Linked DNA regions of Daphnia pulex. The protein of the gene in region 2 purifies or fractionates together with the protein of the main gene of each other region. This does not show direct contact. Links are inferred from orthologs where the notes say so. Each region holds a gene or a part of one and is shown on either strand. Other genes may lie near its edges.

Region 1 (3,756 bases), about 12 Mb from region 2:
AGCAGACGTGGCGACCTAAAAAATACGCATTGAACCTGACATTTAAAAAAAAACCAAGAAATATTATTAAAAAATATTGCTACCTGTGGATATTTGGTTGCATCAAGAAGGGATAAGCAGTTCTTTAAAAGAGCTAAGACAGTGCCTTGATGTCGCTTCCAGTCGCTGGACATTTTCAAATTTCGCGCCACTCTAAAAAAACACATACGCATTCATTAAACAATTTACAATTCGCATTGGCAAACAATTTTACTTGAAAAGTAGCATGGCAACTGGTGTCGTAAATGGATTCTGGTTGATGTCTTCATTCAAATCATTGCACAACGAAGTAAGATCGTAAAGCTTCACAATATCATCGTCTTTTGCTGTTTCACGATGAAGACACGAAAAATTTAATGTGAGATCTTAATTTGAATAATTTCCTTGATTGCTTAAGTAAAAATTATTTTACCTTTGAACAGCCAATAAGTGTGGCCGGCTTTTGTGGCTTTAGACTTTAGGAAAGAGAGAATGTTTTGTGCGACATCTTTAATAATACCCGGCTTAAACTGCGATCCCGGTAGGCGTGGTAAATCGTCCGTTTTAATAAGCTCGTATTTTTGGACCAGACCACCTGTAACCATTAAAAGAATTTAACAACAATTTTTCCAGTTTTTCACGTAGCGCGACGCTATTTACCCAAATGATAGCACATCACAACTTCAGGAACATTGCCTACAAATATAATCATTAAAAAACTCGGTTACAAGATGTTAAACAAAGAAATAGCAGGTATATGACATACACATCAAGTTGTCAAGCCAGTAGTCCAGTCCTGTTAGCACATTAATTGGCTTCGACATATCTCTGATCAATTGACAAAATAAAAGAATTATTCATTTTAGCTATCAAGTAAATTTGCTTGACTTAAGGCTTACCTTAAGCGAAGCGAAAGACACGGGTGAGTCCCACCGCCAAAAATAGGCATATCTGTACCAATTAACATCCGCAAATCTTCAAATGTCCATATGATATTTTTAGAAAACTGGGGAAGAGCATCATCGTGAACATGACTTTCTTCTGGAACAGGATCACCAAGAGGATCAATTACAGGCTGGAAAAGACTTGTGTTACTAAGAATTCAAATTATAAGCACTTTAAATAGTACACAATTTTACCTGAACTTGATGATTCCTGTCCTGAACTTGGGTGTCTGCATTTTCTGACTCATTAAGGGCTATACTGTGATAGAGAAATTTTGAGATGAGGTTTTGTTGCTGCAGGTAGTCGCGACTGTGCCGGCTGGATTTCTTGTCTGAGGCTTTTTGCTTAGCACGACAGGAGGCAAAAATGTGTTCCAAATAAAACTTCTTCAGCCAACCCCATTCGTTTTCAGCTGCTCTCAGAAGGTGAGTGTGGATGTCAAATTCATCGAGCAGCAGTGTGTTTCCAACACGATGAACCATCATACTGACAGCACTTTTGCTGTACGGTATCTTCAGAAGCTTCTTGATATTTTCTGCATCACTCACCACATCAACTTCACCCATGGAATCTAAAAAAGATGAAGCCATGTGAAAACTGGCAAATTCTGTTGACTTTGGATTCCTGGAAACAGCTGGCCCAACTATCTTCTTAGGATGACTTAGCAACCAATTAGCTGGTGGTGTGTTCAAGTCGGTGTTGCTCTGTAATAAAGATAATCGTGGAGGAATACTGACTGTCGAATGCAAATCAAAAGCAAATGATTTGATTCTCTTTCCTTCGTTTTCATGTTCAGAATCTTTGCTAAGAAGTGGACGATAAATATCAATCGTCAAATCGTTCGCAGGGCTACTCATCTGCAATGTTCTCTCCTTTTCGTCGTCCTCTTCGCACGACTCCATAATGTCAACTAAAAAAAAACGACACCCGACACTGCGGGAGAACTCAATCAACACGTTTTTCCAGTCAATTCCAGCACTTTCGAAGGATCAAAACAGTCGGGTAATAATAACAGATGCCTCTTCTTGCTAGGCTGACTGCTATTATTAGACGTCAAGTTGGCGTGAAGCTTTCTTCTAGAATGCTCATTCCTAGTAGTTTTATTTGATTGTCTTACTGGCAAACGAGTAATCATGTTTGTTAATGCAGGGAATAATAATAATTAGTAGAACAAATATCCGTTGTTATGTACTGCGAATATCTACAAGCCACCAGGGGATGTTGGTTCCGTTTGTTTTACAACCAAAAGTTCCAAACTGCTGCGTTGAGGCCGAGGCGGGGACTATGAACAGCGCAATCGCTATAGAACTCACCGGTTTTTTCCTGGACGGAAAACTCCGGCGGAGCAGTGAATAGTGTAACATCTCCACAGTCGGTACACTCATGTTGCACAGTACCGACAACGAGAAACACGCCTCCAGTTTTCCTTGTGTTACCTCCTCCCATTGATTGAACTCGAAAAAAAAATTATTAACAACACATTTACGTCATGATTCACCGACTTCGTCGTCAATTGGCCAGTTGAGAGGTAAGTTAATATGGTAAACTTGCCTGGATTCCGTCCAAAATTTTCGTTTCTTTTCCTCTCTATCTCTCTCGCCTCTTTTTTACTGATTCTAACAAATCAACCGACGCTCATCAATTAGTCCGTCTATTTGCCAGGAAGCGTAGAAAAGGGTGGAGGGGGGCACCTATACCACTGTGTTGACGAGCTACGTTACCTAATTAAGAACTCGGGAGAAAAAACAGAAAAAAATATGACAGGAAGCAACAGCCAAAAAACAAAATAGCAGACGGCCTTGGTGAGAGCATCCGACTGGATCGTTGAATGCGGAGACTTTCAATCTTCCGGCATTATGCGGCATCAGCCAGGGAGAGAGGTGGTCCCGCCGAGATGGCTGGAACGCATGGCCATTAATAAAAGTTCAGTCTCTTGGAAAGCCATTCTAATCAGAGTGAGTGCCTTGAGAAGTCTATACGTCATAGGATCGACGTTGCGTGTCCTTCACGTCGACTTTTCTGTCAAGTGCAGCAGAGAACGGACACAGGAGTGCGTGGGAGGAGGGCGGTCAATTCACGACACGATCAAGCGCGGCCAAAAAACCGATTGAACTAAACTCCTTAGGAAAATCAAGGTAGTAGTTGTACAATATACACACACACAAGTTAAGACAAGCATATCGACCTCCCCGAGCTCTCTCCCACTTTGTGATGATTTCGTTTTATCTATCGATTGAGAAAAAACGGAATGGGCGAATGAAAAACTCGGAACTTGTTAGATGTGGCACGAGAGGGGGTCACGCTGGATGGCAAAAAGAATAGGTCGTGCGCCCTTTATTTTCTGTTCTTTCCGCCCCGCCGAGTCCAATCGTCCCCCCCCCCCCCTTTGATACCTCCTGTGTGTCTGTGTGTGTATATACGTGAGGTTAATCACAATCGTCAGTGTAGAGTCTAGGCCTTCCGGGGGGAGTGCTGGATGGCAAACGGTCGAGTCGATAAATAAGATCTATTATGCAGTGGGCGATATACTATATTCGGGAAACATGAGACTCAAGCTAAAGCCTATATGTGTGTATAGTCAAGTGTGTGTACTGTATCTTGCAGCACCAAGTGGTGAAGAGCAACCGATTCCTGGAGAATCGTACAGCACGAGGCAGGAGGAGGAGCAAGAAGAGAAGCTGTAAAGAGAGAGGAAAAAATCAATACCGTGCGCGGGACCTAACGACCGAACGGCTAGAGGGGGGGAGAAGAAAAGAGCAAAATAACATCGGAGCAAACAAAAATATGATAATA
Region 2 (3,282 bases):
GTTCACAGGATTGGCCGAATTCCCAACATTTTCCTCTCTGCTCTATTTAGGCGTGGATTTGTATTTGAATGGAAATCTTATTGGAAGAGGTTTCGTTGAAGACCAAAACACCGTTGCAGGGCAATTCACTCCCGTGACGTTGCATTCGACGCTCAATCTATTACCTGGTGATCAAATCTGGTTGCAAATAGATTCCTTGTTGCCTCCGTTGATTGGCGACGGTACTGCAGCCCGTCGTAAAAGGCGAATGCTTCCGACAAAGGGAGTGATTTTATTCGACGATTATCGCCACTTTACTCATTTTACTGGATTGATGTTGGAGGAGGACATTTCACAATCGCTTTAATTTCTTTTCTTATTTTTAACTGATGCATTTAAAACAATTAAATTTTGCCTGTTACCTACAAACTTTTTCAGCAGAGACCTTCTTGTTAATACATATGTATTCTTTAGGATTGTAATGACCACAACAATCTTGAGGATCAATAGGATTGGTAGATTACGATAACAAAATTAGAGAACACCGTTCACGCTTCGATGGTTCACGAGAGAGTAAACAAACAAAAACGTAAAGATTATCAAAAGGACGTCGGTGTGTGTATTGCGCCTCCATATCATGAGCCTCTTTGTTTGCTTTTTAAATTCTCTTTCTATTGCCAGCAATCGAATGCCAATAACTTCACCTGTCTTCGACAATGTCTTCCTTGAAAATCACCGACAACAAAGTACGGCAATACTCGGCTTCCTCCTATCAAATGAAAATTCAAAGTTTAAAATTCGATTTCATTTTCAAGTATTGACTAATAATTATTACCAGACATTCGTCGCGATCTCCGATTAATTCGATGCGGTTGTCGAGAAATTCACGAAAGAGAAACTCTGATCTACGGCACTCCTCGATCGATGGGGGGTGGCTCTGGGTAAGTGCCAGCAAGGCGGCCAGTAGATGTTCGTGAGTCGAGTCGTGATCTCGTTGAAGCAGAGCCACAAACTGCTCCACAAATCCCATATTACATAAAGTATCTAGTAAACAGGGTATTGGTTAGAGTACAAATGGAGAAACTTATGAATGTGAATAAAACCTTTGAAGGATGGATTCTCATTGCATAAACAAGTCAACAAGAATGAAGCCTTGATTTTCAGTTTCCCGAGTGATGATTGCAGTGCTCTCAGTAAAGACGAGAAACCATCACAATGCACAAATGCATCCTGGGCTTCTGCACATTCTCTTGTCAAACCTATAATCAATCAATTGTTAACTGAATTCCCTTAGTGTGAGTTGTAAATCTGCTCATTACATGAAATGGCGTACAGGGCTTTGATTCTCGCCTCTTCACAGTCATCGTTTTCCAGCATTTTAAGCAAAATTGGCAATAGGTCTTCGTTGAGCACATGCTGTTGGCAGTATGGGTTGTTCTGGGTGAGGGTGCCAATCAACTGACAGCACCTCCAACGAACTCCATCGTGGGGAGAATTCAAACAGGGGATGAGGATGAAAAATCCTCCTATCTTGTGAAAGTCTGGAGAAACAAGCGAAACAAGTGTCAATGTTTTATTCAATCAATAAAAAAAGATATCTCATACCATTAGCCGTGTCCATGGAATCGGCAAAGTCAGTAATCATTTCCAATGCTTCCTCCATCTCCTGGGGATCTTCTTCAGGACTTTCGACTCGATCTGGATTGAGGATATTTAACGATTTTGATATTTCGGCTACAACGTCGACTGACAATCCTCTTAGAGCTTCTTCTAACCAGCGTCTCCTTTCTTCACTCATCGATGTGGTTGTGGTACGATCTTCAGCTGCGGTGCCTTCGATGGCAAATCTTAAAAGTCCTTGCATATCTCTTGGTTGTCGTGGGGGTTCCATTGTTTTGCTAAGGATCTCAACAACAACTTGTTATATATTTATGAAGAATAAGACGCAGTACGCAAGTTAAACCGTGAACGCATGGGGCAAGCAGACGTCAATGAAACTGTTTACTAGCAAAATCAAGAAGAGTCTGGAATAAAAAGAGCCATCTAGGCATGACTCGCATAACTTAAAAAATTTTGACATTTACAAAACAAACCTGTTAAGTTAATTAAGATTTGGATAAAATTCATTGAGATTTTAAAAAATTATTGAAAAAATCTGCGAAAGTGTGTCATATTTTTATTTGGTTTTTAATTGTAGTTTAACGCCGGAATGGGTTTCTAGCAAGTGACGTAACCTAGCGGCCGCCATAAGCATCTTTTCGAAAGTCACTCGCGTCAGGTTTGTTGTGTCAACGCACACTTTTTTTTAGAAAAAAACCACACCAATTTTAGTAATTTAAAACGCATAAAGTTTAGCCGGTTGATTGGCTGAATACAAGGACACTTAATTCGGAAGACACTGGGGTGAACGGTGTGATTGGTTCTCCCGAAATAATTCGTAGAAATGGCGGTTCCAAGCACATACCGAGACCAACATTTCAAAGTAAGCCTCATGAGTTGATAGCAGAATTGAAAATGTAACTTAATATACAGTTTTGAGGCAATTAATGTTTAAATGGAAATGCATACCTTAATAATTAAAAATATTTTGATATTTCAAGCCAAAATAACTGATTTCCATCTTTCAGGGTTCCCGGGTAGAGCAGGAGCGTCTGTTGAGTCAATCTTGCACCCTGTATGTTGGAAACTTGTCCTTTTACACAACTGAAGAACAGGTTAAATACTTCCAAGTCAACAATTGGTTCCATTTGATTTCATCTTTTCAAATATTTTAGATCCATGAATTGTTTGGGAAATGTGGCGATGTCAAGAGAATCATCATGGGATTGGACAAGTTTACTAGGACCCCTTGTGGATTTTGTTTTGTAGAGTAAGTCATTGCAACCAAATCCAATAACAAAATTGTGTTTAATTATTTCTAATTATCTTTCAAGGTTTTACCTGAGGAATGATTCAGAAAATGCCATCAGGTTTGTGAATGGGACAAGACTGGATGACAGAATTGTGAGAACTGACTGGGATGCTGGCTTCATTGAAGGAAGGCAATATGGCAGAGGCAAAACTGGAGGACAGGTCAGCATTTCGTCAGCTCAAACTTATTGTTCTCAACTAATGGATTTCTGTTTTGCAGGTGAGAGATGAATACCGAACTGACTTTGATGGTGGCAGAGGAGGATGGGGCAAAATGATTCAGCAGAAGGTGGCCACATCTGCTGCTGCTAACAATTGATAACATTTCTAAATACTGTATTCATTCATCTCTGTGTGTTTTTTTTTTTAACAAATGTCAACAAGTGTTATCCT

What was found. The genes of interacting proteins can lie anywhere in the genome.
Region 1: the proteins of hsp70-binding protein 1-like (region 2) and erythroid differentiation-related factor 1-like purify together in Homo sapiens (affinity purification with mass spectrometry; 3 studies listed by BioGRID and IntAct, counting the BioPlex papers as one, with this or other methods). This does not show direct contact. The link is inferred for Daphnia pulex from reciprocal best matches to the Homo sapiens genes HSPBP1 and EDRF1.

What each region holds. Positions count from the first base shown.
Region 1 is NC_060026.1:4,184,168-4,187,923, forward strand, and holds the start of erythroid differentiation-related factor 1-like, read right to left. Parts: upstream 2,217-3,756; 5' UTR 1,866-2,216; coding exon 1,158-1,865; intron 1,094-1,157; coding exon 918-1,093; intron 847-917; coding exon 785-846; intron 715-784; coding exon 679-714; intron 614-678; coding exon 452-613; intron 366-451; coding exon 254-365; intron 193-253; coding exon 84-192; intron 16-83; coding exon 1-15. UniProt on the Homo sapiens protein: Transcription factor involved in erythroid differentiation. Involved in transcriptional activation of the globin gene.
Region 2 is NC_060026.1:16,275,680-16,278,961, forward strand, and holds hsp70-binding protein 1-like, read right to left. Parts: upstream 2,006-3,282; 5' UTR 1,871-2,005; coding exon 1,585-1,870; intron 1,521-1,584; coding exon 1,299-1,520; intron 1,239-1,298; coding exon 1,083-1,238; intron 1,024-1,082; coding exon 815-1,023; intron 749-814; coding exon 680-748; 3' UTR 576-679; downstream 1-575. Other genes in the region: nuclear cap-binding protein subunit 2-like, read left to right, coding at 2,423-2,461, 2,607-2,693, 2,754-2,848, 2,913-3,051, 3,110-3,208. UniProt on the Homo sapiens protein: Inhibits HSPA1A chaperone activity by changing the conformation of the ATP-binding domain of HSPA1A and interfering with ATP binding. Interferes with ubiquitination mediated by STUB1 and inhibits chaperone-assisted degradation of immature CFTR.